Callithrix jacchus: one gene and its partner. The protein of the gene in region 1 binds, or shares a complex with, the protein of each later gene. Links are inferred from orthologs where the notes say so. Each region holds a gene or a part of one and is shown on either strand. Other genes may lie near its edges.

Region 1 (15,418 bases):
GGGGCACGTGCACCATGTTTACTGGGACCCTGCTGTGCACCAGATGAGGGGAGAAGTCAAGGCCCACCAGGCCTGTGGCCTCCAGTGAGCATCCGCAGGCTGCGGGGGGTGGCGGTCAGTGGAACAAGTGTGGGGCTGTCGGGCTTCCGGGAAGAAGGGTCACTTGAGCTGCCGGGGGAGCTATGCAGAAAGGGAGGTGGGGTGCACGGGGCGGGGGAGGCCAGGGCAAAGGCCGGGTGCTCAGAGGGTGACGGGGACAGCAGGGCCCTTCGGACGAGTGGAGGGAGGGCCCCCTCGGCCGCCAGGCACCACCCCTGGGGCCCGGCCCAGTCCAGAGACTAAGATGAGAGGCCTCCGGGGTGTTCCAGGTGAGCTGGAGTCAGCCTCTGTCCCTTCTGAATAATCACAGGGGAGCGTGAGCGCAGTGACCGAGCCTCCGCCTGCGGGTGGAGGGGCAGGGGCTTCTCGTCCAGGAGGTGCTGGCCTCAGCCTCCGGAGAGGGGTCTCACGGTTCGTGGTACAGGTCACAGCCAGGGGTGGGGTCCCTGGAGAGGGGTCCGAGGACAGTCCCTGCAGAGGTGTCCAGCCACCCTCCAGTTGCCATGGCTCCCGGCAGACACTAATCCCCACGGTACCGGGCTGGACCTCTGCAGCGTCCCAGGCGGGTGTCACCTTGTTTGATCCTCCTGGGCTGGGTGGACTGAGGCCAGGGGACTCCTGTCCAGAACTCAGGGTGGCTGACGGTGGGAGGAGCGGTGCAGGGCCGACAGGCCCCCTCTCTGGCCATCAGGCCCCCAGGAGGGCCCAGGTGCTCAGAGGTGGGAGTGTCCCAGTTTGATGCTGGGAGTGGGAGCGCCCCTCCACCCGCAGGGCTGAACTTCCACTGGGTGCTGGGCCCTGACTCACATTGGACCCTGCACCCCTGGGGCACCCAGCAATTCCAGAACAGTGGGAGCCCAGAGGCTTCTCAGGGAGCCCCAGAATATGAAGGATGGGGGCCCCCCAGCAGGAGCTGGAGGAACACAGCCAGGGGCGGTGGGAGGTGGAGAAACAGCTGGGGCTGAGGTGAGAACTTCGAGGGTTCCGGGGTGGGGGGCAGCAGATGGAGATGGGGAGGAGTTGGGGCCCCAGGGATCCTCAGAGGATCTGTCTTGGGAAGCTACTGGTGTGTGTGTGGTGGGGGTGCGGGAATTATCCCAGGCACTTCCAGAGAGGATGAAAAGGCTTATGTCCCAAGCTGGGCAGGAGGGAAAGGGACCTGCTTGGCTCTGGGGCTGGAGGTGACAAAGTTGGCAGACAGGGAGACTGAGGGCGTGGACAGTAGCAGCAGGTGCAGCAGCATGGGCCCTCCCAGGCATCAGGGCAGATGAAGCACTTGGCTCCCAGGGGGTGCCCCAAGGGACCCCGTGGGCATGGATGGCTCTGAGTGGGGCACAGGAGAGAAGCTGGTCCGGGCTCAGGGGCAGCAGCACAGAGAGCCCACGCAGGAGCTGGGCTCCAGGCCCCCTCCCGCCGTGTGTCAGTGTATGTGAAGTCACCGCTTCCTCACTGGGAGTCCTGAGACAGGACGGCAAGGGGCGTCATTTAGGAGGTGATCCGGGAAGGAGGTGAGTGGAAGGAAGTGCTGCCCCTTTCGGCTCCACTGTGGCCACCCCCTCGCTCCCCTCCCAGCCACCCTCTGTCAGGGCCTTTGCCCCCTGCTGTCTGAGTCTACTCTCTTGTCCCCTCCTCAGCGTGGACTGTTCCCTGCCCGCCCTTGGTGCCCTAGTCTCCCCCTTGCCACCTGCTCCTCCCCGCAGCTGTCTTCATGAGGGTCTGAGAGCGCCTCTGTGGAAATGCTGCGGGTTTGGTCCTTGCCTCTGCCACACTCTCACAGAGCTGGGCATCTGCACCTTTGAGTGTGGGCTTGGCAGCTGGAAATGCTCAGAAACCGTGTCTTCCCCCGCCCCCATCCCATGCGTGGACAGGGCTTGTCTGACCTGCTGGGGAATGATGCCACACTCAAGTGTCCAGGCAGGTGGCTTCTCTGCCCACAGGCCCAATGGGATGTGCAGCTGGGCCATAGCTGGCCTGTCCCCCAGAACCTCCCACCCGGTCCAGAAGGGCTCCTGCACCACCCCTGGGGACATCTGGACCTCAGCATGGACTGTGCCTGCCTCAGCATGGGTGCTGGGAGGTGAGGATGACTTGGTCAGCCAGCCTGCCAGCCACTGTTACCCCAGAGTCTCTGAGAAGAATGACACCCGCCACCTCCAGGGTGGCCTCCATCAGCAGGTGGGCCACCTGCAGCCCTCTGCAGGCAGTTAGAGACAGAATGCTTGTTCCCAGGTGTTGCAAGAAAAAATAAGCATTCAGACGAAAAGTTGTCTCAGCAAGGCAATTTTACTTTCTGCAGAAAGGGTGGTCTCGTTAGCCATCTTGCCTCGAGAGTACACAGAGGAAAGCCAGGCATATTTATTCCTTATGCATTGGGCCGTTACTGCTATGTCTGACCTCCCCTGGCTGGAGTCAGACCTCACAATCTAAACTAAAACCCGATGGGCTGACAACTTAAAACTTTTCCAAGTAGGTGAAGGCAATGGAGAACAAGGGGAGAGAGGAAGGACAAAGAAAGAAGGGGCAGAGGCCGCGAGCTGGGACACGCCTGTGAGCACGGCCAGCGCAGATATCCCGGTGAAAGCACAGGGACGTACCATGTACCTCTTCTATATCTAACAGCTACACAGGCTAAGGTTTAGCAGAGTTACGGGAGGGACAGCATGGGGAGAAATGCCAGACGTGGGTGAAGGGGAGGAAGGCAGCAAATCACACTGCCACGTGTGTACCTATGCAACTATCTTGCATATTCTGCACATGTACCCCAAAACCTAAAATGCAAAAAAAAAGAGTTACTAGCAAAAAGCAGGAATTTTCCAAACAACTTATCATTTCTAACATTTATTATTATTGTTTAACAAAAAGGGAAACTTTGAAGAGGAAGCTTTTTACCTCCTTTTTTTTTTTTTTTTTTGAGACTGAGTCTCACAGGCTGGAGTGCAGTGGTGCGATCTCAGCTCACTGCAGCCTCTGCCTCAGCCTCTCAAGTGGCTGGAATGACAGGCGCCCGTCACCACATGCTCAGTTAAGTTTTTTGTATTTTTTTAAGTAGAGTTGTGGTTTCACCATATTGGCCAGTTGGCCAGGCTGGTCTCAAACTCCTGACCTTGAGATACACCTGCCTCGGCCTCCCAAAGTGCTGGGATTACGGGCGTGAGCCACTGCGCCCGGCCCTAGGAACTTCTTACTTTCTACACAGGAGCCTCAAGCGCCTCGGCCTGCAGAGCCACTGGTGTGAGCTTCTCCAGGGATGCCACAGCCCAGGGGGTGGGTGCCCCTTCCCACCTCCATCTGACCCAGCTGTGTGTCTGGCCTCATGTTAGGGCTGGGGAGGTGTTACAGGTGGAGGAGCTGGCAGACACCTGCAAGACAGGGCCTGGGGGTGGGAGGGAGGCCAGATGACTTTCTGAGCCCATGGGTCCAAGCCTGTATAGGGAGGGAGCGTCGTGTGCCCCAGGGCCAGCTGCAGCCTCCCCAGAGACCCTCTGTGAACCCGGGCTCTCCCCATGGGGCTGGGTGCTGTGGTCCCGTGAACCCGGGCTCTCCCCGTGGGGCTGGGCGCTGTGGTCCCGTGAACCCGGGCTCTCCCCATGGGGCTCGTGCTGTGGTCCCGTGAACCTGGGCTCTCCCCTTGGGGCTGGGCGCTGTGGTCCCGTGAACCCATGCTCTCCCTTTGGGGCTGGGCGCTGTGGTCCCGTGAACCCGTGCTCTCCCCTTGGGGCTGGGCGCTGTGGTCCCGTGAACCCGGGCTCTCCCCTTGGGGCTGGGTGCTGTGGTCCCGTGAACCCGTGCTCTCCCCTTGGGGCTGGGTGCTGTGGTCCCGTGAACCCGGGCTCTCCCCTTGGGGCTGGGTGCTGTGGTCCCGTGAACCCGTGCTCTCCCCGTGGGGCTGGCGCTGTGGTCCCGTGAACCCGGGCTCTCCCCGTGGGGCTCGCGCTGTGGTCCTCCAAGCAGTATTGCTGGATGAGAAACAATCTGTGCTCCTGAAGAACATGTGGAAACGCTGAAAAGCTTAAAGGAGAGAACTCAGTCCTGGTACCCGGCCTCCCGAGGGAGCCGCTGGAGCTTTCAACAGAGCCGAGCCAGCATGAGCCTACCCATCTGTGGACAGACGGCACGTGGCTGCTCCCATGTCCCTTCGACGAGGGGCCCAGGGCCTTCAGGGTTCTGCTGTCACCTGGGGGCACCTCACTTCATTCAGCCAGTGACAGGGCTCCCTGAGTCTGGGCAGGGGCAGGGGCAGGGGAGGGGGTCGGGGGGCCTCCTGGTGGGGAAGTGTCCGGTGACCCCCAGGCTTCATGCCCAGCGGGTGCTCAGGGTGGACCCCACAGACTTGCCATCAGCACGCGGGATCTTGTCAGGAGTGCAGATTCCCAGGCTCTGTGACCTGCGGACTTGGGGACCCACCCGAGCGAGGCCTGGGAATCTGCGCGGAGGCCCCAGGTGACTTCAGAACCCCGCCTTAGGTGAGGGACTGAGGTGGACCCATGGATTTATTTCAGGGGAAATAGAAATAACCGCTCAGCAGGTACGTTTCGGCCGCATTTAAATTCGTGTAGGATCCGCAAAGAAGGCCTGGAAACCCCGAATGGAGCGTCCTGGAAATCCCGGACCACGACCATGTCACAGCGGGGCTGCCTGCGGTCCTCCCCGCACCCCTTCTCTCCACGACCACAGCCCACCTCCGGAGAGGCCTGCGGAGCCCCTGCCTCTCTCCCTTTAAACAAGGACCCCTCCACCCTCTTCAGACTTTGGAGGAGGGACCCGCACCCCAAGCTGGGGTCTGCTGCAGAGCGGACAGCAAGAAAATGGGGCGGGGGCGCAGGCGATCATGGGGTCACTGCCAGTGGGACCAGGAATGTGGGCAAGCGCGCAAGGGTTACGGGGAGCCTCGATGTGGGAGCCCCGACTTGGGAGCCCCGCAGATGAAGCGCCCCGGCCCGCCCCGCCCCCACCCGACACTGGCCCCGCCCCGCCCGCGCCCACCCGACACCGGCCCCGCCCCATCAGACACTGGCCCCGCCCCGCCCCGCCCCCACCCGACACCGGCCCCGCCCCATTAGACACTGGCCCCGCCCCTCCCCGCCCCCACCAGACACTGGCCCCGCCCTTCCCCGCCCCCACCAGACAGTGGCCCCGCCCTGCCCCGCCCACTCCCAGCCGGCGCCCGCCCCGAGAGCCCAGAGCCAGCTCCGAGCGCGGACGCCGGGGCTCTCCAGCCAGAGGGCGCCTCCACCCAGGTGAGTGCCGCCCGCCCCGTCCCCCTCCTGCGCGGGCGACCCCTGCCCTCGGCAGCACGGGGTCCCGCGCAGCTCTGATATCCCCGCTGGGGCGCCCACCTCGTGTGCGCAGCCCCGGCCCGGGGTCCCGCCCTGCGCCCCCGCCTGCTGCGCTCGCTGTCCCCCCACGCGCCCTCTGCACACCCGCGGGGCTCTCCTGCCGCCGCCGGGGGTCCCTCCGCTCCCAGACTCTCCATCCCTGCCATCTCCTGGCTGCGCCCCGCCGGGGCGGTGAGCTCCTGGAAGGCAGCAGGCAGAGAGGCCAGCACTGGAGTCCTGGGAGCTGGCACCCACAGATGGGTTCCCTGGGACCCAGCACTGGGAGGCTGGGGTGTCACCCCTGCCCGCCGGAACAGAGCCGCCTCCTGTACAAGGCACCGCGTGTGTCCGGACCCCTCCAGGCGTCTCCGCCCTCCCCAGAATAGAGAACACGCCCCTGGGGTGTGTGCCCTGGGCGCTCCTTCCGGACCCCAGGCCTGCCCACCTGCCCGCCCGCTCTCCCCGGCCTGCCAGCCTGCTGGGACCCCCTCGAGGTGAGAGGGGAGTTTGGGACGGTTCCAGCCGGGCTGAGCCCTTTCTGAAGGCAGCGATCCGGGGATGTGGGTGGGGACTGCCAGAGCCTGGGGGTGGAAACTGGTCAATAGTACCAAGGACAGGGGCCTAGCTTGGATTTCCAGGGCGAGACCGGGCGGGGCTTCCAGGAGGAGCCCTGGGAGTGGAGGGTGGCCTAGGAAGCATTCGCAGAGCGCAGAGGAGGGGTAGTGCCGGCCTGGCCCCCTGCTGCTGCTACTGCTTCAGGCTGGCCCCCACCTGCCTCAGTTTCCCCCTCTTGGGGAGGGCGTGTGCCCTGACCACAGGCTGCCTGACATAGGGACAGATGGCGTGTGTGTAGGGAACATGTATATGCAGCCCCTCCAAGCTGCAGCTGCGTCACTGCCCCTGTGAAGGACCCGGCTCCCCGACCTCGTGCTGGGCTAACCTGGAAGGGGTTGGCAGGGCACAGGTCTAGCCACGTGGTTCAAGCTACAATGACAGGAGTTTGGTTTTAGCTGCTTGGGAGGCTGAGACAGGAGGATCTCCTGAGCACAGGAGGTCGAGGCTGCAGTGAGCTCTGATCCCACCACCGCATTCTAGCCTGGGCAGCAGAGCGAGACCCCATCTCAAAAACAAAAAATCAGGCAATCAGGAACCGTGGGTGCTGTGCTTCTCTGGGGAGCCCCATGGCTTTCTGGATGCTGGGGAGAGGCTGGGCTGCTGAGGGCAGCTGTGGGGGCAATCGCTGAGCGCCCCGTGTATGCCGACACAGCACCCAGCGCCTTGCACACAGAAGCTCGCTCGGTTTCATCTGCTCTGGTTTGAAGGAGTGGCCTCTGCCAGCAGCTGGGCTCGGAGAAGCCTAGGACTGACCCAGGACCAGGAGGCCCGTGTGGGGTGGTGGGGCGGGGCCGGGATCTGCTCCCAGTGCCGTCAAGCTACCGCTGGCTGAGCAGGTCCCTTCCCGGTTGAGGGCTGGAGATCTGAAGTCCCCCGTGCTGACCGCCTCCAGTGAATCCCCCCACCCACAAGGCACAGGGCCATGGGGACAATTTCCCTGTGAGTGTGTAATTTTATGACTCAGAAGATGACTGCTTCCAAATAATGGCTCCTGCGGAATTATGTTCCAAGAGTTAGGTACAGCAGTAACGGCCTATTTTTGTTCTTGGCTGCTCTGAAGTCTACCTCTGGGGTTGGAGCCCTGGCGGCCGCAGAGCTGGGACCTGGGAACCCGTGGAGCCTCTCGCTGGGCTCTGGGCATGGGAGTGGCGGCAGAGGAGCCCTGAGTAGCTCCTCTGAAGCTCTGAAGCTACAAACACGGGAATTTGGTTTTAGCTGCTTGGGAGGCTGAGGCAGGAGGATCACCTGAGCACAGGAGGATCACCTGAGCACAGGAGGTGGAGGCTGCAGTGAGCTGTGATCGCATCACTGCACTCCAGCCTGGGCAACAGAGCGAGACCCCATCTCAAAAGCAAAAACTCAAGCACTCAGGAACCAGAGGTGCTGGGGACCCAGGGCCTGTTCTGGAGATGGACCGGAACCCCACAGTCTCCCTCTCCCTGCCCCACCATCCATGGCTCCTCCACCTGGCCTCCTTGGTACCGAGGAGTGGGCCGAAAGCGCCTCCCCAGGGAGGGCTGAAGCTCAGAGGCCTCAGCAGCCAGGACGCTGTCCCGTCCACCCGGACTCCCATGCAGCCCACGGGCTGTCTGCAGACCACAGTCCTTCCGGAATGCACGCCCCACAGGCAGCCGGGGGGAGCCGTAAATGATGCGTTGGATTTCTGTGCCGGCCCCTGGGGAGTGGAGAATCGCTGGTCCACTGCTGCCGTGGGAACTCACTTCCTGGAGGCCCCTGTCTGAGTCCTCCTAGGAGAGGCCTTGTTCCCTGCCAGGAGCAGATGCGGCTGGAGGCTCCAGCCCGACCCCAGCCCAGGAGCTCCTTAGGCAGCAGCTCCAGCAAAAACGGAAATGTCTCTTCCCTCCTGGCTGGGCAGCGCTCTACTGGGTAGGGGTTCTAGGGTGACAGCGCCCTCTCTCTCTGTCTGCCCCCACCCTTTTTCTCTCCCTCCCCACCCCCTGCTTCTGCTTCTCCCACCCCCAGGGTTTGTATGGAGGCCACTGCCGCAGCTGTCCAGGTCCTGCCCGGGTGTTTCCGTCCTGTCTCCCTGGCTGCCTCTCTTTGCCCCGGATGCCATAGCTTGATGGGGATGCTCTTTCATTCCTTTACGCCGCACAGGACAGGGGCTCCCAGACGGGACCCTGTCACCAGTTCTGGCGGAGCCCAGGCACGCTCTCCCCCTGGGACCCCACACAGCCCTCTCCTGACCTTCTGCTGGCGCCCTGTTCCCACCCATCCGTCAACCCTCTTCCAGTCACCGATTCTCTCTTCCGCGCTGTGCAGACTGGAGCTGGTTCTGACCACTTCTGTAGTTCTTTTCCCCCACAAATGATTGTATTTTTTTTACATCCAAGATGTGTGATTTTTAAAAATAGGTGCCTGTTCATTTTACTTCTTAGACAGAAGCCAAATTTATTCCCCAGCATTTTTCCGTGCCTTCTCTGTGGATCCTCCACGTGTTTAAACAATCTAAGCGTTCGTGAGCTGGTTATTTTTATTTCCCCTGAGATGAATCCACGGCTGCACGGCCCTGTTCATTTTGAGTTGTATTTCTCAGCGTGTTTGGGCCACGTGCACCTGGGAACGCTGGTTTCTGGGCTTGCTGGGGACACACGGCTTCCTCTTCGGGGCTGTCAGCCTTGTGTTCTGCACCCCCCCCCCGCCCCGGCTCTCCTTTCCTTGTCTACCAGATGTCAGTGGCCTCGGCCCAACCCCGCAGCCCCCTGCCAGGACTGTGGCCTTCCCTGGTAGCTGCTGGGGGCGTCCTGTGCTCTGAGGTGCCTCAGGGGTCACAGCTGGTCAGCTGAGCAGGCCCAGGGCTCCAGACAGCACATGCTGGGGTCACTACGGCCAGTTCCACCCCCACTCAGGCCAGGGTCCCCCCAGGGAGGGACCTGTCCCTGGTCTGGATCCTGAGGGGCGCTTTGATTCTCTGCTGGCCACCCCCAGAGTCACAGAGTCCCAGGGTCAACCCGAACGTCTGACCTTCCTCCACCCCACTTGTCAGGGGAGGCACTGGTCTTTTTATTTATTCATTTATTTTTGAGACGGAGTCTCACTCTGTTGCCCAGGCTGGACTGGACTGGCCTGATCTCAGCTCACCGCAACCTCCACCTCCTGGGTTCAAGCGATTCTCCTGCCTTAGCCTCCCAAGTCGCTGGGACTACAGGCACGCACCACACCCACCCAGCTAATTTTGCATTTTTTGTAGTGACGGGGTTTCACTATGTTGGCCAGGCTGGACTTGAACTCCTGACCTCAGGTGATCCTCCAGCCTTGGCCTCCCAGAGTGCTGGGATTACAGGTGTGAGCCACCGCATCTGGCCTGATGTTCTTTTTGAGACAGGGTCTTGCTCTGTGACCCAGCCTGGAGCACAGTGGTGCAGTCACAGCTCTCTGCAGCCTCGACCTCCTGGGCTCAAATGGTCCTCCCTACTCAGCCTCCTGAGTAGCTGGGACTACAGGCGCCCGCCACCACACCTGGCTAATATTTGTATTTTTTGTAGAGATGGGGTCTCACCATGTTGCCCAGGCTGGTCTCCAACTCCTGACCTCAGGTGATCCCCCCGTCTCAGCCTCCCACGGCACTGGGATGACAGGCGTGAGCCACCACGCCTGGCCAGAGAATCGTTTTTACAACTGATTTCAAACACACAGAAAAACACAGAAACAATATACGAGCCTTGAACCCACAGATGTTACTATTCTCAGCCCACCCTCCCCCATGTCTCCCCTTTTCTCTCTCTGGGCCATTGTGGGGGGTTCCAGGTCCTAGGAGGGGGCTCCGAGCTCCTATGGGACAGGCAGTGTCAGGCAGCTGGAGCCCCCACCCCTGTGCCTGTGACCTGCCGGTGCCCCACACTGCAGCTTCTCCCTCGGGCTGCAGGACAAGTAGCTGCCCACCCCACAGTTCCTCGTCCTTCGCCCTGTGCGACCCCTGGGCTCCACGTGGCTGCTCTGTGCGGTTTGTGTATTTGCTTCTCTGCAGCCGCCCCGTGGGGAGGGGCGGTGTCTGCCCAGCCCCTGTGCTGTGCCCCTGCCTGGGTTTGTAGATGTCTGTCATTGCCATGGGGGGAACAGGTCCCCGCAATGGTCTGGCGAGAGGTGCAGGGTCCAAGGGGCAGGTGCAGCCCGGCGAGAGTCCCTCGAGGCTGCGGCAGTGACACGCTGTCCAGCGGATTCTCCAGTCGTGCATCCTGGGCAGGGCGGGGGCCAACCACCGGCCTCATCTCTCTCCGCTGCCGCCTCTCCCTGTGCACCCTGGGAGGTGCTGCCCACCAGGTCTCCCCTTGGGAGACGCAGACAGCAGCACCGCAGGGCAGGCTCTGAGGGGCTCTGGGGAGATGCAGGTGCTGGCCTCATGATGCCACAGCCAGGCCAGGCACCACCGGGCAGCCGTCATGGTATTGACAGCGGCCGGCCGGCCTGGGCTCCCGGGGCCACCTGCCCGCCGCTCCTTCCTCTCCTGGCTTGTTTTCCAAACAATTTGCTTAATGTGATTCCTGGCCAAGCTGAACATGACTAATCGTGTTTACTCGGTGATCCCAGCCTCCCGGCAGGTGGGGCCTGACCGGGCAGGGAGGAGGAATACCTGGACGTGCCCACTCACAGCCTCACCGCCCCGGCGTCCTCCCCTCTTCTCTTGCAGAGCCGACGCGCCCTCGGGCTGCCGCAATGGAGCCCCTCTTCCCGGCGTCCGTGCCGGGCTGGAACGCCTCCTCCTCGGGTAACAGGTCCTTGGTGGGGCCGGCGCCGTCGCCGGGGGCCCGGGCGGTGCTGGTGCTTGTGCTGTACCTGCTGGTGTGCGCGGTCGGGCTGGGCGGAAACGCGCTGGTCATCTACGTGGTTCTGTGCTGCACCAGGACGAAGACGGTCACCAACATCTACATCCTCAACCTGGCGGTGGCCGACGTCCTCCTCATGCTGGGGCTGCCCTTCCTGGCCACGCAGAACGCCGCGTCCTTCTGGCCCTTCGGCCGCGTCCTGTGCCGGCTGGTCATGACGCTGGATGGCATCAACCAGTTCACCAGCGTCTTCTGCCTGACAGTCATGAGCGTGGACCGCTACCTGGCCGTGGTGCACCCGCTGAGCTCCGCCCGCTGGCGCCGCCCGCGCGTGGCCAAGATGGCCAGCGCCGCGGCCTGGGCCCTGTCGCTGTGCATGTCGCTGCCCGTCCTGGTCTTCGCGGACGTGCAGGACGGCGGCACCTGTAACGTGAGCTGGCCGGAGCCGGTGGCGCTGTGGAGTGCCGTGTTCGTGGTCTACGCGGCCGTGCTGGGCTTCTTCGGGCCGCTGCTGGTCATCTGCCTGTGCTACCTGCTCATCGTGGTGAAGGTGAGGACCGCGGGCTTGCGCGTGGGCTGCGCGCGGCGGCGCTCGGAGCGCAAGGTGACGCGCATGGTGGTGGTGCTGGTGCTGGTGTTCGTGGGCTGCTGGCTGCCCTTCTTCACGGTCAACATCGTCAACCTGGCGGTGGCGCTGCCCCAGGAGCCCGCCTCCACCGGCCTCTACTTCTTCGTGGTCGTCCTCTCCTACGCCAACAGCTGTGCCAACCCGGTCCTCTACGGCTTCCTCTCCGACAACTTCCGCCAGAGCTTCCGGAAGGTTCTGTGCCTCTGCCAGGGCTCCGGCGCCAAGGACGCTGACGCCACGGAGCCGCGGCCAGACAGGAGCCGGCAGCAGCAGGAGGCCACGCCGCCCACGCATGGCGCCGAGGTCAACGGGCTCATGCAGACCAGCCAGCTGTGAGGGGCGCCGAGGGCAGGGGACGGGCGGCCCCTGTCACCCCCAGGGGCAGGGGTTGCACTGCAGTGCCCCCGACCCCTCACCTGCCTGTCAGTCAGGATGCTTCCCGACGGCGGTGGGGCGAGGCTGGAACTGCCGAGGCCAGGCTGGGGTGGACACAGGGCAGAAGGCACCCCATAGTGACAGATCACCCTCTCCCGCCTGTTTACTGCGTGGGGGCTCCTGGGAGGTGGGAGAGGTACCCAGGCTGGTGAGGGGCTCTTGTAAGTCCTCAGGGCCCCCTCACCCTCCATCCTGCCCCAGCCCGTGCCAGCCTCCCTGCCGGGGAGCGACGTTTCCAAAAGGCCAGCCAGATGAGAGGGTCTTCCTGATGGCAGGGGCCTGCCCTGCCCGGCCCCCCAGCTGCATGTGCCTTGGGTCAGCTCTGAGCTACCTGCTGCTCTCATAAATTAAAGACACCTGAAAGGGCTTGATCAGGTCCCCTGGAGTCCCTGCCCAGGGCCCCAGCCCAGCCCTTCCCCACATTGTGTGGAATCTGGACACAGGTGTGAGGGAGTGTGACTGGGCAGCCCTCGGTCAGCCAGGGTCACGCCTGCCCTGGGGCCCCACCCTGCTGCCCGCCACCCTCCATGGGACGCTGTCCCAGAGAGGGAAGCAGGGGGCTCCCTGTGGGAGAGGTGTGGAGGCAGCTGGCGCAGAGGAGAGCCAGGGGCTGAGGTTGGGGTGGAGGCTCCTGCCCTCCTGGCTTCTGGGGCTCAGGCGTCTGTGCTACGCTGACTGGCTCTGTCTGGAGGGCCGGGAACGGGGTGTGCCTGGGGGCCCTGGAGGAAGGGCTCCTGATGGAGGAGGACCTGAGGGTCAGGGACTGGAAAGGATGGGGAACCTACGGCTGTCTCTTCTGCTTTGGGGCAGGGGCTCCGGGCCTGGGAGAGGGAACAAGAACAGCGGACAGTCATTCAGGCAGCAGTGGGGAGACAGCACTGCTGGGAGGCAGTGGTCGCATGGGTGATGGGAATGCCAGGTCCTGGGAATCCTGCTGAACCCCACCTAGAATTGTCCCACCTCTCCCACCCCAAACGCCAACTTCTCCTGGCACCCTGGACCCAGAGCCTTACTCTGAGGCTGGAAGGAGCAGGACCAGAGACCCCTCTGCCCTGCCCAGCACTGGCCCTGACCCATGCTCCCGTCGCTCAGAGCAGGTCCCCGTCCTCCCGGGAGGGTGCAAGGAGTGGGCTGAGTGGGTACAGAGCTAGGCAGGGGAAAGGCCCAGACCGAGGTCAGGCCTGGGAAACGTCCGAGCGATGAGGACACGTGTGTTTGACAATTGCTCCCCTGTATAAACTCAAGGATAAATGTTTGATTCTTTCCCCGAGCAAATATTGTCTCTGGAGCTGAGTGCAGCCAGCACAGACCAGAGTGAGTGGAGCCCAGGCTCCCCTGAGGCCCAACACAGGGCGAGACCCCCCACCCCAGCTCTGCTGAGCCAGACAGGGCCAGGAGGGGGGCGGCTGAATGCCCAGCAGGAAGCCGGGAAACGTGGAATTCATGGACAGGGTGAAAAATGACAGACACTGCCTGAGGTCTGAGGCTGGAGCTGCCTCTCACAGCCGCCCCTGAGCGGGCTGCCCAGGCTTCTCAATAGCTATAGGGGGAGTTAGGGGGCTTCTCCAGCGGGTCCACAAGGCTCTGCCTCTGAGTGACCAAGGAGGGGTGGATCCAGGGTGCCCTGGGGGAAACTGAGGTTCGTTCACACCACAGCACCCCCTCACCTGCCTCCCTGGGGATTTGGGTGACATGTTCATCTGCTTGGAAGGCTCTGGGGACCTAGCAGATGGCTCGGAAATCCCTGCTGAGATCAATTTCTCCAATTGATTTGACACTGCCCTCTCCCCGAGGGGCTGGCAGCCATGTGGGGCAAACAGAGGCGCCAGCGCCCTCGCTCTCTGGCCCCACCTCGAGCCCCACCCCATTTGGCCCAGCTGCAAGCCTCAGGTACCCTGCTCCCCGCCTCAAGCATCCTAAAGCCCCTGGGACCCCGGTTCCTGTCAGTCCCAGGCCCCAGCTTCACGGCCCCGCTGGCCTCCCCAGTCTGGTCCCAGCCACATGCAAACCCCGTCTGTGCCTTCGGTCAAAGCCTTGCCCCCGCCAGGCGCACACCCTCCCCACAAAGCAAACCTGCTGTGCCCGGCCTCCTCCTCCCGAGTACCCAGGACCCTCCCATGCTGACTCTCTGCAGGCAGTGGGCTGGCCATGGCGGCCCCACAGCTGGGCCTGGGACTTCCTGCCCTTGGGCCCTTGTGCTGGCTGAACACATGTCCTCGTTGGACAAACGCACCTGCCACACGCCAGCGTGGGGCTGGGTCGTGGGATCAAGATTGAGCTGGAGGAGCATTCCAGGCTGAAGGAACAGCCTCTGTGAGGGCTCAGAAGCAACAGGGCACAGGGGGTGAGCTGTGGGGGTCAAGTCAGAGAAAGGAGCAAATGCAGGTCCCCCCACGTTCTGACCCACGCTGCCCCAAGGAAGGTGAAGCCACACTCACTGCAGCTGGAGAGTGGAGACTGGACCGGAGGCGGGAGGAGGCAGATGCAGGGGGTGTGAGGAGGCTGTGAGGCGTCCAGGAGAACACGCAGTGGCCTGGCCCTGGGCGGGGCCCCAGGGGTGTTCACAAGGTAGAGGCAGCCCCTGGCTAGGCCTGGAGAAGGGGCAGTGGCACCCAGCTGGCTCCTGCTTGGGGCACATGGGAGAACAAGACCCCGGGGTCTGATGGCCTCGGTGGGCTGAGGAGGCTGAGGATGTTCCAGGACCACGCTGGGCAGGTGTGGATAGCAGAGCCACAGGGAAGGGGCCACGGGGAAGGGGTCAAGGCCCAGATACCCCCAGGGCAGCAGCATGATAGGCCTGGAGGGGTCAGGGGTGTGTGTGGGAGGAGCTCGGGCCCTGGACCCTGAATCCTCACCCCTCGGGGAAGTGAGGGTCTGTGGGTGTCCGGAACTTCTTCAGGGGCTGCAGAGCCAAGACCCCTTGCAGGCCACGTGAGAGTCTAGTGGGGGGCATGGTGGGAGCAAACATCCTGGGCGGGGTGGCTCCCATGGGTTTCCCGCACGCATCAGTGGGTTTTATTGGCTCTGGGCTCCAGCAACTCAAGTGACTTTGCTCAGGAAACAAGTCCCAGCCCCGCCCCATCAGCAGGGGTGCCCAGGCGGGATGTGGGGGTCTTCAGAGGGACCCGGAAGGCCTCCTGGGGAGAGAAGGGCACAGAGATGACCGGCAGCCATGGGGCCCCCACAAGCAGCCACCAGCCCAGGGCCCTCAGAATGCTGTTTCCTCCCACTGGACGAGACCCCAAAGCATGGGTGGGGTGGGGGTGTGGGGCCAGCTGTGGGGTCTCGGGGAGCCAGGCTGGGGGAAGGCTGCCCCTAGGACAGGCCCCTCTGCCCATCCAAGGCCAGGTCTTGGCAGCACGGAAAACCCCCATGGGTGCAGCAGAGGCTGGTGCTGGCCACACTGCCCCTTGGAGGCCTGGAGCCCACGTCGGGCTCTGCACTTCTGTAGGGGGCAGGAGCTGCCCTGGGCCCCTGGCAGGCTGTTAGGTGGCGTCCATCTCTGGGGTTCTTTCTCCTCTATCCCCATCCCAGCCCGGCCA
Region 2 (15,548 bases), on another chromosome or scaffold:
CCTTCTCCTGATGAGCAAATGGAAGTTTGATGAGGCTAACCAGCTGCCCAGGGTCACCAGGCTATAGTTAGGAGACAGTGTTCAGATTCGGGGCCGTTCACTATAGAACGGGTGAGAGAAAAGGGCATGCATTTGGGGTAGAATTTATACCATCTGTACCCAAATCTGATGAGCACACCCCACAGCCTGACTCTGAAAGGGAGGTGCTAAGCTATGGCTGTAGTGGAGCACTGAGTTCACACCTCGTGGTTTCGGGTCTGCAGGTGGCTCAGCACTTGTCCTCATGTTAATGATAATCTGTGTGTCATATCAGTGAACGAACAGTGAGTCATAAAGCCGTCCATCTTGTGTTCAGCCAAAGACCCATATGTTAGGAGTTTCATTTTCAGATAAGCTCTCTTTAAACTCCTTATTGGCCATGTGCAGTGGGTAGTGCCTGTAGTCCCAGCTACATGGAAGGCTGAGGCAGGAGATTCACTCGAGCCTGGGAGTTTGAGACCAGCCTGGGCTGCACAGTGAGACCCCCGTCTCAAAAAAAAAACAAAACAAAAAAAAGGTTAGGCATGCAAATGCATGCCTATAGTCCCAGCTAGCTACACAGGAGGCTGAGGCAGGGGATTGCTTGATCCCAGGGGTTCTAGGCTTTAGTGCGCTATGACTGTGCTACTGCACTGCAGCCTGGCGGACAGAACAAGATCCCAACGCTAAAACAAAATTTAAAACTCATCAAGAACAGTTTAGGGAACATACTACAGACTTTCCAAAGGTGGAAAGATGGGGGTTTTCATCTTGGGTTTCCAACTCCAGTAGCTATATGTTTCAGAGATGTTATGCTCTTTTTTATTTTAAATTGAGACAGGATCTCATTCTGTTGGCCAGCTGGAATGTAGTGGCATGATCATGGCTCACTGCAGCCTCAGTCTCCCAGGCTCAAGTGATCCTCCTGCCTCAGCCTCCTAAGTAGCTGGGACTGCAGGCATGCGCTACCATGCCCGGCTAATTTTTTAGGTTTTTTTATAGAGATGGGATCTCAGCATTTTTCCCAGGCTGGTTTCAAACTTCTGGGCTCGACTCAAGTGATCCTCCTGCCTCAATCTCCCAAAGTGCTGAGATTATAGGTGTGAGTCACTGCACCTGGCTTTTTTTTTCTTTTCTTTTTTGAGAAGGGCTCTTGCTCTGTCATGCAGTACCGTGGTATATCGCAGCTCACTGCGGCCATGAATTCCTGAACTCAAGCAATCCTCCTGCCTCAGCCTCCCAAGTGCCCGAGACTACAGATGTATATTACCACACATGGCTAAGTTTTCTTTTGTTTTTGAGACAAGGTCTCATCCTGTCACCCATGCGGGAGTGCAGTGGCTCAATCTTGACTCACTGCAGCCTCTACCTTCCATGCTCAGATGATCCTCCTACCTTAGCTCCCCAAGTAGCTGGGGCCACAGGTGTGTACCACCACCTCCAGCTAATTTTTTTTTTTTTTTTTTTGGTAGAGGTGGGTTTTGCCATGTTGCCCAGGCTGGTCTCGAACTCCTGGGCTTAAGGGATCCTCCTGCCTCAGCCTCCCAAAGTGCTGGGATTATAGGCATGAGTCACTGCACTGGCCTTTTTTGTTTTTGGAGATGTGCTCTTACTCTGTCACCCATACAGTGGCATGATCACAGCTCACTGCAGCCATGAATTCCTGGGCTCAAGCAGTCCTTCTGCCTCAGCCTCCCAAGAGCCCGAGACTACAAGTGTGTGTTGCTACACCTGGCTAGGTTTTCTTTTCTTTCTTTTTTTTCATAAGGTCTCACTCTGTCACCCATGCTGGACTGCAGTGGCGCTATCTTGGCTGACTGCAGCCTTGACCTCCCATGCTCCAGGATCCTCCTACCTTAGCCCACCCCGCCAAGTAGCTGGGACCACAGGTGTGCACCACCACGTCCAGCTAATTTTTGTAGAGATGAGGTTTGCCATGTTTCCCAGGCTGGTCTTGAACTCTTGGGCTCAAGTGATCCTCCTGCCTCAGCCTCCTAAGTAGCCAGGACTACAGGTGTGCATTGCCATGCCTGGCTAAATTAAAAAATTTTTTTTTAGAGATGGGGTCTTACTATGTTGTCCAGTCTGGTCTTGAACTCCTGGGCTTAGGTGATCCTCCCATCTCCACCTCCCAAAGTTTGCTACCTTTTTGAAACCGTCTTTTATTTTATTTTTATTTTTTTTAATTTTTTTGAGTCAGAGTTTTGCTCTTATTGCCCAGGCTAGAGTGCAATGCTGTGATCTCAGCTCACTGCAACCTCTGCCTCTCGGATTCAAGTGATTCTCTTGCCTCACCCTGCTGAGTAGCTGGGATTATAGGCTTGTGCTACCACGCCTGGCTAATTTTGGTTTTTTTCGTTTTGTTTTGTTTCTTGTGTTTTTTTTTGAGACAGAGTCTCACTCTGTTGCCAGGCTAGAGTGCAGTGGTGCAATCTTGATTCACTGCAACCTCTGCCTCCCTGGTTCAAGCGATTCTCCTGCCTCAGCCTCCTGAATAGCTGGGACTGCAGGTGCTTGCTAGCAAGCCCAGCTAATTTTTTTTTTTTTTAATATATAAAGATCAATTTCCTCTCTAGTTTTACCAATCAGAATATTAAAATGTGGCCGGGTGCGGTGGCTCACGCCTGTAATCCCAGCACTTTGGGAGGCCGAGGCGGGTGGATCATGAGGTCAACAGATCGAGACCATCCTGGTCAACATGGTGAAACCCCGTCTCTACTAAAAATACAAAAAATTAGCTGGGCATGGTGGCATGTGCCTGTAATCCCAGCTACTCAGGAGGCTGAGGCAGGAGAATTGCCTGAACCCAGGAGGCGGAGGTTGCAGTGAGCCGAGATCGCGCCATTGCACTCCAGCCTGGGTAACAAGAGCTAAACTCCGTCTCAAAAAATAAAATAAAATAAAATAAAATGCTACCTCATTGTTTTAGATGAAATTTCCCATTTAAATATATGACACATAAGCCAAAATTTAGAAATAGCTCCTGGCATCACTGTAGTTTTGGGCCTTTAAAAAAAGTAAAGGCTTAATTTTAAGTTTGAATATAATGTGCAGCTTATATAACATATATATATATATTTTTTACATACATATAATTATATTTTATATATTATATTTTCCTTATCATGAACTTTATTATGCTTCTGAAATTTCTCCAATCATTTCAAATTTACTTCGATAAAAATTTTTCTATATTTTGTCCATTGCCTTTTGAAATCAGAATGTTACAAATTTCCATCTATAATAAAATAAAATATTCAAGCTTTATTAATAATCCTAATTTAAAAAGGATGCAATTAAGAGCTGACATAGCTAACAGAAATGTAAGAAAGGTATACTTTTCTTGAATAAAAAAATAGGAAATACTTTAATGAAAAAAAATCAAGGACTGAAGGAAGGAGAAAATTTTCTAGACAGTAGCTGGTCCTTCACAATTTGTGTTATTGTGCAAATACATCATTAAATAAATACTCATCTGATATTTACAAAATAGACGTAAGAGAAGAACCTAAAGTATCAGGATCTTTCACTTGCTATCCCTCTTTCACTCTTCTGTATACATTAGTTTACATACCAACTAAACATGTGATACTAGTTAACTATAGTTGAAAGCCTATCAATTAAGTCATCAGTAGTGTAAACAGAAGTTGAATGTCTCCTTTTTCCTTCATTCGGTGATCACTATGTTTTCGGAGGATGACATCCGCATCTGTGCTGAGTACTCGGTGGATGCCAAGGTACAACATCATCCATGCCATGGAGCAATCCTACAGGGCAGCTCACAGGTATTGGGCTGTGTAACGAGCAGTGGTGTTCAGTTTCTTTTTTTTTTTGAGATGGAGTTTCGCTCTTGTTACCCAGGCTGGAGTGCAAGGGTGCAATCTCGGCTCACCGCAACCTCCGCTCCCTGGGTTCAGGCAGTTCTCCTGCCTCAGCCTCCTGAGTAGCTGGGATTACAGGCACCCGCCACCATGCCCAGCTAATTTTTTGTATTTTTAGTAGAGACGGGGTTTCACCATGTTGAGCAGGATGGTCTCGATCTCTTGACCTCGTGATCCACCCGCCTCAGCCTCCCAAAGTGCTGGGATTACAGGCTTGAGCCACCGCACCCAGCCAGTGTTCAGTTTCTTTAATGAAACTGTACTGAATGTGATAAACTCCATCTTCATGGTATTTTGATGGCATGCTCCACACACCTTTTTTTGCCTCAACAGGAAGCTGATTAAACTGTGTCACTAAGCCATCTGCAGCTGTAGATACACCAATAAGAGCCATAACCTTTTCTGGTCGTGCAATTGCAGCATGAAGCTTAAGCCACCACCTGAGGCTAGATCCAGCATGAATCTGTGGCCCTTCAGCTAAGTCATCAATTATAGAAAGATCATCTTTCCTCCATTTCCCCAGTGTGCTTGCCTCCAGGTTACTGTCTGAACTTCTAACTCCTGAGTAATCAAACCTTATGTAGGTGTGACTTAGAGATTCGCAAAACTCAATCGCCAATGCTTTTGTACCATTCATATTAGAAATATAGCCAGGGATGAAGATAAAATTCCTGGACTTTTGCCTTTTAGCCTCTTAAAAGCCAGGTTTGGAGGGTCTGGTCAATTAAGGAAAGAGAATGATGTCTTTTGTCTGCAAGCTGGGGGCCACCATGGCACCCACTGAGGCTTTGGTGCAAACAGCATGTTGAGGCCCTGGTAGGGAACGAAGGGGACAGCTGCCCAGCTCCAGCTCCGACAAGGTACACAGTGACTATGCATGCAACCGCCATCTTCCCAGCTGTCCAATTTTTTATTTTTAATAGAGATGGGGTTTCACCATGTTGGCCAGGATGGTCTCGATCTCTGTGGAGGTTGCAGTGAGCCAAAGTTATGCCACTGCAGGCCAGTCTGGGTGACAGAGCAAGACTCATCTCAAAAACAAAAGCTGGCTGAGCTGCTGTGACTGTCTTATCTATAAGAGTAACTCAAAATTTTAGTGTCATTTCTGGGAATTATTTTGGTACAGAAATAAAAGATGAAGCAGGCTGGACGCAATGGCTCAAGCCTGTAATCCCAGCACTTTGGGAAGCCGAGGCGGGTGGATCATGAGGTCGAGAGGTCAAGACCATCCTGGTCAACATGGTGAAACCCCCGTCTCTACTAAAAATACAAAAATTAGCTGGGCATGGTGGCATGTGTCTGTAATTCCAGCTACTCAGGAGGCTGAAGCAGAAGAATCGCCTGAACCCAGGAGGTGGAGGTTGCGGTGAGCCGAGATCACGCCATTGCACTCCAGCCTGGGCAACAAGAGCAAAACTCCGTCTCAAAAAAAAAAAAAGATGAAGCAACATACGATGTATAAGCCTCTGGCCAGTAGGCCATGCTGATCTTACCTAGGATTTTAACATAAACAAAAAAACTGTGACAAATTAAATCCACAATTGAGATTTTCCTTGTGAAGGTGTAAACCAGAACTTGGGAAAACTGAAAACAAGTATGTTCCCTTCTAGAAAGCGCTGTCAGTTTTGGGGTGCGTTCCTTCACTTTAGAGCCTTACCTTGGACACTGGTCATCGGTAGTAGGCTTGAGCAGATGTTTTGGATTTTACTCACTGTCTGGTTGGGTGAAGGGGTCTGTGCATTTGTCTGTGTGGTTCAGCAATGAGGGCCTGTGAGGAAGAGCCAGTGGATGGCACAGAGAGGGGCTCTGGGCTCAGGAAGAGAGCGAGCCCTGGGAGCTGGCTGAGGGCAGGGTTGGGTACTGCTTCCCAGACTGACTGCCCTGTGGTACCAGTACATCTCACACGAGACCCACACACAACGTGAAACATTATTTATCCTTATTCGGGGTGAGGCACACTAATTTAAATTTCATTTGAAAGAAAAGTACTGACCAATGACCCATGAGTGGGTGGTCAGGAGCATGATCACGTCTGTCATCCCAGCACTTTGGGAGGCTGAGGCGGGTGGATCACTTGAGGTCGGGAGTTCAAGACCGGCCTGGCAAGCACAGAGGAACCCTGTCTCTACTAAGAATACAAAATTAGCCGGGCATGGTGGCATATGCCTGTAATCCCAGCTACTCTGGAGGCTGAGGCAGGAGAATCGCTTGAACCTGGGAGTTGGAGGTTGTGGTGAGCTGAGATTGAGTCATTGCATTCCAGCCTGGGCAACAAGAGCGAAACTCTCTCAAAAGAAAAAAAAAACACGGGACCATCAGGAGTTTGAGACCAGCATGGCCAACATGATGGAACCCCATCTCTACTAAAAATACAAAATTTTAGCTGGGCATGATGGCACACATCCATAATGCCAGCTATTCGGGAGGCTGAGGCAGGAGAATCGCTTTAACCCAGGAGGCGGAGGTTGCAGTGAGCCGAGATCACGCCATTACACTCCAGCCTGGGCAACAGACTTTGTTTCAAAAAACCACCACCAACAAAAACTGGACCAGGGCTGCTCCAGGGCCAGCAGTGCCTGGGTGCTGCTTGTTGAAAATGCAGCTCTCAGCTCCTCTGTGCCCCAGCACATCAAGACCTGCCTGCAAAATGGTCTGTCTTCACTTCAGGTTGAGAAGGCCTGGCCTAGAGGATGGTGGGTCTGGCCTGCTGGGTTGAGAGGCAGCACTGGGAGCAATTCCTGGGGTCTTGCCGACAATTTGGTGAAACTAGTGGATTTGATCAGAGCATCTCTGAGCCCCCATTGCCTCCTTGTTTCTTTGCCCGTAGTAGAATTTCTCTGAAATTACTGGATGAGTTTCAGTCATACTTTCACATGTGCACAATTTCACATTCAAGCTCCTTATCCAAGGCTAATTTTATATTATGTTAAATCACTTGTTTTTGTTCTCACGGCTTCCTGCCTGCTATAGGCATAATTACGAGGAAGTGGAACTTCAGCAGCGAGCACACATGCGTTCCAAAATAAGAGCAAATGCGCTGTAAACACAGGAAAAGACCTGAAGCTTTAATTAAGGAGTTAAATCCAATCCCAAAGCGCTTTTCTGGGCACTGATTGCTCCAGCTTCTGCGTCACCACGTGAGGGAAGAGGATCCAGGCATTAGACATGTATAGACACAAAAAACAGCTGGAGATTCAGCTTAAAATACCCACCAAGCTCCAAAGAAGAGACCCAAGTCCCCAGAACATTGATTCAGGGCTGCCAGGAGGAAGAGCAGCAGCAGGGTGGGAGAGAAGCTCCAGTCAGCCCCCAAGATGCTGCTGCCCCCTGGCCTCTTGCTGCTGCTGCTCTCTGGGGCCACGGCCACTGCGGCCCTGCCCCTGGATGGCGGCCCCATCAGCCCAGACAGTGAGGTGAGTACAGACGCAACGTGGCCACACGCTTGCCCACTCTCTTGTTGGGTTTTTGGCCTGCATGGTGAGTGTGTGTGTGTGTGTGTGTGCGCATGCGCGTGTGCGTGTGTTGGATTTCACAGCTCGGACAAGACACAGGGCTGAACTTCGTAGTGTTCTTGGCTGGCCCGAGGTACTGGGATGTCCCATTCAGACTGCTGATCTACATATACCTGTCTCAACCCATGAAGCATGTTGGAAGGCCGCGCAGCTCAAGGAGAGCCCTTCATGTCAGTGCCTCTCTCCGCTGGGCATCTGGGAAGGGTGAAATGAGTGTGCCAGTCCACTGAGGGCAGGCATAGAGCTGCCATAGCCCTTGTGAGTCACCCAGACTTCCAGAGCCTTCAGATTCTACACAGCACAGGCTCCCACTGGCTCAGAGTAATTGGCATCATTACATTTCTGTTGTGAGGTTTTATAACTTCATGAGGTGATTGATTGCTCTTTTTTCCGTTCTGAAAAAGTTCCAAGAAAGAGTATATAAAGTTGACCATTAAAAATGGATTTTTCTCCAAAATTACCAGATGAGTTTCAGACAGGTCATTTACCACCAGATTATTCCCAAAGCTTTCTAAGGAACTTGAAAAACCAGAATATAATGTTTCAGTCCCATCTGTCTCAGAAGGCGACTTGCAGACATCCAGGAGTGTGGCCAGAGGTGGGGAATGAGTACATTAGCCTGCTCCACCTCGGGGCTTCTTAGCTGCCAGTCACTTCGGGGAGAATGGCAGGTTTCCTGACCACTTCTAATTAAGGACCTCAGCAGAGAGTATGGGGCAAAACCACCAGGTTTTTTTCCTTGACTTAAAATGACCAACTTACTTTTCCTTTTCTCTAATTAGAGCAATTTCTTTAAGGTATTCTCTTCACTTTCTCATCTTCATCCTTTAAATGGAAATGTGGCTTATTGCTATGGAGCATCTTTTCTTTTTTTTTTTTTGAATTTATTTATTTTTAATACTTTTCTCCAAGGTATTCTAGGTCTTTTTTTTAAGTAAGGAGGAGATTGCCTATCTTTGCTTGCTGCCTGAGCCAGATCGCTGAGTTTTCTTTCCTTTGCCATCTGCTTCTTTTTAAAAGCATATGCAGGAAGCGACAGAAATAAAGAAAAGCAGCCTCCTGACGTTCCTCGCTTGGTGGATTGAGTGGACCTCCCAGGCCAGCTCTGGGCCACTCACAGGAGAGGAAGCCAGGGAGGCAGCCAAGCGGCGGGAAGGTGCGCCCCTTCAGCCGTCCACGCGCCGCAACAGGATGCCCTGCAAGAATTTCTTCTGGAAGACCTTCTCCTCCTGCAAATAAAACCCCACCCGTGATTACTCATGCAGGTGTAATGACGGACCAAAATAAAATGTATTAAGCAGCAGTGATCTTTCCTCTTCTTCCCATTTGAAAAGTATTTTTTATTTGAATTCCAATAATGCCCAATACTGACGTGTTTTGAGTAATTTGGAACCCAAAGTGAACATCTTTGAGAAAGATTTTTTTTGTGGTTTTGCTCGACTGTGCTCAGTGCAGCCACTGGGTTTTCCTTTTGACATTCGTTAAGGTGCTGGGAAGCTCTGTCTTTGATTTAAAATAAAATAGCCAAAGACTACATAATTAAAAGTTCAGAATAACATTTCAGTTTATGAATTGATATGAATTGTCTCAATTTAAAAAATATTTCTCTCACATTAAAAGCAAATTTTTTTTTTTTTTTTTTTTGTCTTTTTAGTAGAGACGGGGTTTCACCAAGTTGACCAGGATGGTCTCGATCTCTTGACCTCGTAATCCACCCGCCTCGGCCTCCCAAAGTGCTGGGATTACAGGCTTGAGCCACGCGTCCGGCCCAAAAGCAAATTTTTAACATCAGGCTTGAAGAGCAAAATGATTATTCCTCATGCTGTAGCTGAAATTAATTTTAAAACAAATATTAAACAGAAAATATGCTGACATGCCTGGAAAGTTGTACTTGAATTTGCTGTTATGTACCATTTTAATTAGTAGCTTAATGGATTGCAGTTCTTTTCATGGATTATAGCTTCACATTTGCTTTGGGAGGAACGAAGTCTGTACAGAAATGTTCTTTCAAACCAGATGCGGTGGCAGTGAGCCCTGCTGGCGCTCAGCTGTCGCCTGCTTGCAGTGGCTTCTAGTACCAGGACCTGTCCCAGGTCTCAGTATCTGGATTTTGTACAGTGACAGTCATATGAATTACATGTATAATTGTCACATTCGTGTCCCTATTCCTCAGTGTTCCCAGTGAATAATGGCAAAACGGGACAATTCCATTTCTGTGATGTAGCGTAGAGTAGCCATTGAGCCCCCACATGGACCAAGCTCTGGGTCTGCTCAATGAAATTAGGGGTAAAGAAATCATGCAATTCTAAAAGCTTTCTTACGTTTCAGTTCTCTCCACAGCACCAAAATCCTTGCTTAATGACACATACTGTTTATGACTCAAATCACAGATTCTAAAGGAGACTTCCTGCATGAAGGTTTTTCTTTATTTTTTTGAGACAGAGTTTCGTTCTTGTTTACCAAGGCTGGAGTGCAATGGCGCAATCTCGGCTCACCACAACCTCTGCCTCCTGGGTTCAGGCAATTCTGCCTCAGCCTACTGAGTAGCTGGGATTACAGGCACGTGCCACCATTACCAGCTAATTTTTTTTTTTTGTATTTTTAGTAGAGACAGGGTTTCACCATGTTGACCAGGATGGTCTTGATCTCTTGACCTCGTGATCCACCCGCCTCGGCCTCCCAAAGTGCTGGGATTACAGGCTTGAGTCACCGCGCCCAGCCTCTTTTTTTTTTTTTTTGAGATGGAGTCTCCCTCTGTCACCCAGGCTGGAGTGCATCACTGCAACATCTGCCTCCCAGATCCATGTGATTGTCTTGCCTCAGCCTCCCGAGTAGCTGGGACTACAGGCACGTGCCACCATGCCCAGCTAATTTTTGTATTTTTTAGTAGAGACGGGGTTTCACCATGTTGGCCAGGATGGTCTCAATCTCTTGACCTTGTGATCCGCCCACCTCAGCCTCCCAAAGTGCTGGGATTACAGGCGTGAGCCACCGTGCCTGGCCTTTTTTTTTTTTAGATGGAGTTTTGCCTTTGTTGCTCAGACTGGAGTCCAATGCTGCTGTCTCTGCTCACTGCAACCTCCGCATCCCAGGTTCAAGTGACTCTCCTGCCTCAGCCTCCCAAATGGCTAGGACTACAGGCATGCACCACCACACCCCGCTTTTGTATTTTTAGTAGAGACATAAAGACGGGGTTTTACCATGTTGGCCAGGCTGGTCTTGAACTCCTGACATCAGGTGATCCACCTGCCCCAGCCTCCAAAAATGCTGAGATTATAGGCGTGAGCCACTGCACCTGGCCAATTTTTCTAGTTTTAATAGAGACCTGGTTTCGCTATATTGGCTAGGCTGGTCTTGAACTCTTGACCTCAATTGATCCACCTGCCTCAGCCTCCCAAAGTGCTGGGATTAGAGGCGACAGCCACTGCACCTGGCCATGAAGGTTTTTAGATGCTAAACTTGATTGGGAAAACCAGCAAACGCTGACTGGAGGATATGGGAATATTCTCTGGACACCAGGGGAGCAGACTCCCTGAGAATGACTGCTGACCATTCCGTTCTGTTTTCTGCAGAGCTGACCTCATATTCATAATTACTAGCTGAATAAAGTATGATGTGATGGAAGAGACTCAATAGTATCCACATTTCCAAGCACAGCAGCTTTAGGAGACCAGTAACTGGGTCAGTGCACTGGTGGAAGAAGTCTGCCTGGAAGGCCAGCTAACCTTCAGAACTTTGTCTTTTAAGATTTTTCAGCCGGGCACAATGGCTCACGCCTATAATCCCAGCACTTTGGGAGGATGAGACAGATGGATAACCTGAGGTCAGGAGTTCAAGACCAGCCTGACCAATATGATGAAACCCTGTCTCTACTAAAAATACAAAAATTAGCTGGGTGTGGTGGCATGCGCCTGTAATGCCAGCTACTTGGGAGGCTGACACAGAACCGCTTGAACCTGGGAAGCTGACGTTGCAGTGAGCCAGCCATTGCCATTGTACTCCAGCCTGGGCAACAAGAGAGAAACTGTCTGAAAAAAAATTTTTTTTTTCTAGAAGAAAGCCACACTCATTGTTTTTCAGTTTTTAAATTGGTGTCAGCCAAGTGTGGTGGTCATGCCTGTAGTCCTAGCACTGTGGGAGGCCAAAGCAGGCAGATCAATTGAGGCCAGGAGTTCAAGACCAGCCTGGCCAACATGATGAAACCCTGTCTCTACTAAAAATACAAAAATTAGCCAGGCATGGTGGTGCATGCCTGAAATTCCAGCTACTTCGGAGGCTGAGGCAGGAGAATCACTTGAGCCTGGGAGGTGGAGGTTGCAGTGAGCCGAAATCATGCCACTGCACTCCAGCCTGGGTGACAGAGTGAGACTCTGTCTCAAAAAATAATAAATAAAAAACGGACCAGGTGCAGTGGCTCATGCCTGTAATCCCAGCACTTTGGGAGGCTGAGGTGGGTGAATCACGAGGTCAGGAGTTTGAGACCAGACTGCCCAATATGGTGTAATCCCATCTCTACTAAAAGTACAAAAATTAGCTGGGCGTGGTGGTGGACACCTGTAGTCCAAGCTACTCAGGAGACTGAGGTAGGAGAATTGCTTGAACCTGGGAGGCAGAGGTTGCGGTGAGCCAAGATCACATCACTGCACTGCAGCCTATGCGACAGAACAAAACTGTCAAAAACAAAACAAAACTGCAAGGTGTAGCCAGGTGCGGTGGCTCAAGCCTATAATGGCAGCAATCTGGGAGGCTGAGGCGGGTGGATCACCTGAGGTCAGGAGTTCGAAACCAGCTGGCCAATATGGTGAAACCCTGTCTCTACTGAAAACACAAAAAATGAGCCAGGCTTGGTGGCGCACACCTTGTGTGCACACCAAGTAGCCCCCAGCTACTTGGGAGGCTGAGGCAGGAGAACTGCTTAAATGTGGGAGATGGAGGTTGCAGTGAGCTGAGATTGTGCCACTGCACTCCAGCCTGGGCAACAAGAGTGAAACTCCATCTGAAAAACAAACAAAAAACCCGCAAGATGTAGAAGATGCAGCCAAAATGATTTAAGACAAAACTCCACAAACAAAATGGACAAAAACCCTGAAGCTGAAAAAAAAAAAGCTTGAACAGGTAATTAGGAAATTAAACAGCTAAATAATCTGGTTATTAAAGGCACTTAGTTATTCTTATAATTGATACAGGTTTTTTTCTTTTTCTTTACGGACTTCTTTTATTCCTAGCTCTCTGGAAAATGAAAAATCCATTAGTTTTTTTCTTTTGCTTTTACCCAGAAATTAAAGGTTGGTAAGTAGTAATTAGCACAGCTCCTGTCAAAGCCAATTGCCTAACGAGGACCGACATTTGACTTAAGTTGAAAGAATGGAAGAAGGCTAATGTGGAGTTCATTAGTTCCAGCTGCTTTCTCTGACAGTCTTTTCCCCTACCGTGAGAGCAGGCATGCCCTGCTCTCGCTCACTCCTGTTTTTAGAGGTATGGCTCTGCTCCTCTGGTTCTGTTCTGTAAGGCTGGAGGCACAGTGGTTATAGGGAAGGTAAGTGGTACTGGGGCACTACGTTTGTGACCACATTCATTACACATCTGGGCTACAGTTTGCAGACTAAGGTCTTTGCCCTACTGACTCTTTGATAGAGGACTCCTGCACCCCAGCTGTCTGCCCCTGGGAAATGAAAGAGAACCACTCTCCACTGTCTACTATATGGTAAGTACTATGATCTTTCTCATTACAGTACTTCATTCCTTTTTTGGGGGGACTGGATTATTTATTTTGAGACAGGGCCTCACTCTGCCACCCAGGGTGGAGTACAGTGGCACGATCATAGCTCATTGCAGCCTCGAACTCCTGGGCTCAAGTGATCCTTCTGCCTTAGCTGCCTGAGTATCTAGGATTGCAGGCGAGTGCTACACCCGGCTAATTTTTATTTTTTAAATTTTTGTAGAGATGGGGCCTTGTTATGTTCCCCAGTTTGGTTGGTTCATTTAGGCTGGGCGTGGTGACTCACCACCTGTAATCCCAGCACGTTGGGAGCCCATGGCAGGTGGATCACCTGAGGTGAGAAGTTTGAGACCAGCCCGGCCAACATGGTGAAACCATGTCTACTTAAAATACATTAAAAAAAAAAAAAATTAGCTGGGCGTGGTGGCGGCCACCTGTAATCACAGCTACTCTGGAGGCTGAGGCAAGAAAATCACTTGAACCTGGAAGATGGAGGTTGCAGTGAGCCGAGATTGTGCTACTGCACTCCAGCCTGGGGAAGAGCAAGATCTCAAACAACAAAACAAAACATATACTTAATTTAACCCTTTCAAGCTTGGGGCTTTAGAGTAACTAAGAGGTTTGACTCAATACGGTTTGTCTCAGTCCCAAAGCCACAGTACTTTTTTCATTATCCTGTCCAGTTCAGCCTCTTGGTGGGTTCAAGTATAGAATACCAATACCAACAGCCAGATGAGTCAACAAAAGCTCTGTGTGTTTCACAGAAATAAGGAAAATATTTTGGCTGGGTGTGGTGGCTCATGCCTGTAATCCCAAAACTCTGGGAAGCTGATGTGGGAGGATTGCTTGAGGCCAGCCTGGGTAACATGGTGAGTTTTAATGTCCCCTAGATTTCCTAGGAATGTAGGTACTTGTAAATCCAGGACAGATACGTTTACTCTTGTGGGAAATCCCATTACTGAGGGCAATGCTGCTGGTGGCATTGGAGCTGACAATCACTATGCCCATGTGCCAGCTAGCCTGCCAGATGCATGGCGATTCCATCAGTGCAAACATCTGACAGTCACTTTATTGGAAATTATTTTCCTTTAAATAGTACATTCCTGAAATAGTACATTTGGGGCATTATATTGATGCTGCTGTAAGGATGAGTGTAGGTAGATTATCAGTGATGGCTTCTTAGTAAGGGATATTTTATGTATTTTTAGTAGAGATAGGGTTTCACCAGGTTGGCCAGGCTGGTCTCAAACTCCTGACCTCAGATGATCCACGAATCTCAGCCTCCCAAAGTGCTGGGATTACAGGCATGAACCACTGCACCTGGACTATTGTGATTTTTTTTTTTTTTTTTGAGACGGAGTTTCGCTGTTGTTACCCAGACTGGAGTGCAATGGCATGATCTCAGCTCACCACAACCTCCACCTTCTGGGTTCAAGCAATTCTCCTGCCTCAGCCTCCCAAGTAGCTGGGACTACAGGCGCGCACCACCATGCCCAGCTAATTTTTGTATTTTTAGTAGAGACGGGGTTTCACCTTGTTGACCAGGATGGTCTCGATCTCTTAACCTTGTGATCCACCCGCCTCAGCCTCCCGAAGTGCTGGGATTATAGGGTGAGCCACTGTGCCCGGCCGATATTTCTTTACTTAATAACTAGCCAATAAATCTCTTAATAGTATTCTGTTTTGCTCTAAGCATGCATAAAAAATGGCCGGGTAAGTCCGTGATAACTCATCACCTTTTCCCTGCAAAGAGAGTGTACTGCAGATTAGCAAACCTGCAGAACCAGTCTGTACAGAGACAAGAAGAAGACAAGCCAGGCCTCCTCTGCTTCATACCGAGACTTGCAGTCACAGCACATGGAAATTGCTTTAATGACCTTTTATACCCCCTGCTGATAAAACAATTAGAAAACTTAAAAGAGTTTCACAGTGGTGAGATATAATTTCACAATACTGAATTAGATATTAGAAATGGACTCTACGTATGTCCCTGTGGTCTACAAGCTTAATATGTATCTTTATTTATTTTTTTAACAGCACTTTCCAGGCAAATATATAATCTTTAAACAAACAAATAGAAAAATTCGTTAACTGCAGAAACAAGTTTGTGGCCATAATCAACACTCTATAATGTCACTGTCTCCACCATTATCTGTGCTTAAAATTCTGCAGTACTATCTTCAGAATAAGGATGAGTCTCAAGTATGACCATTTCTTTTCAATACCCTTGACAATTACCTTTTTTTTTTTTTAAAGTAGGGTGTTACTCTTATCATCCAGGCTGGGGTGCGGTGGCATGATCAGAGCTCACTGCAGTCTTGAACTCCTGGGCTCAAGCGATCCTCTCACCTCAGCCTCCTGAGTAGCTAGGACTATAGGTCAGTGCCACTATGTCTGGCTAACTTAAAAAAAATTTTT

Evidence for each region.
Region 2: the proteins of SSTR5 (region 1) and CORT are in contact, whole or in part, in a cryo-EM structure (PDB 8X8L), measured with the Homo sapiens proteins. The link is inferred for Callithrix jacchus from reciprocal best matches to the Homo sapiens genes SSTR5 and CORT. Residues at the interface, in NP_001044.1 of Homo sapiens: Tyr89, Leu96, Gln99, Asn100, Ser103, Asp119, Gln123, Glu182, Thr185, Cys186, Asn187, Ala188, Trp190, Gly198, Phe201, Ile202, Thr205, Phe264, Phe265, Asn268, Asn271, Glu279, Ala283, Tyr286, Phe287, Val290, Tyr294; in NP_001293.3 of Homo sapiens: Cys93, Arg94, Phe96, Phe97, Trp98, Lys99, Thr100, Phe101, Ser102, Ser103.

What each region holds. Positions count from the first base shown.
Region 1 is NC_133513.1:3,321,491-3,336,908, forward strand, and holds SSTR5 (somatostatin receptor type 5), read left to right. Parts: upstream 1-5,278; 5' UTR 5,279-5,336; intron 5,337-10,677; 5' UTR 10,678-10,703; coding exon 10,704-11,777; 3' UTR 11,778-13,146; downstream 13,147-15,418.
Region 2 is NC_133508.1:48,333,140-48,348,687, forward strand, and holds CORT (cortistatin precursor), read left to right. Parts: upstream 1-6,722; 5' UTR 6,723-6,869; coding exon of another isoform or gene 6,870-6,875; 5' UTR 6,876-7,213; coding exon 7,214-7,312; intron 7,313-8,431; coding exon 8,432-8,650; 3' UTR 8,651-9,040; downstream 9,041-15,548. UniProt on the Homo sapiens protein: Binds to all human somatostatin receptor (SSTR) subtypes. It also inhibits cAMP production induced by forskolin through SSTRs.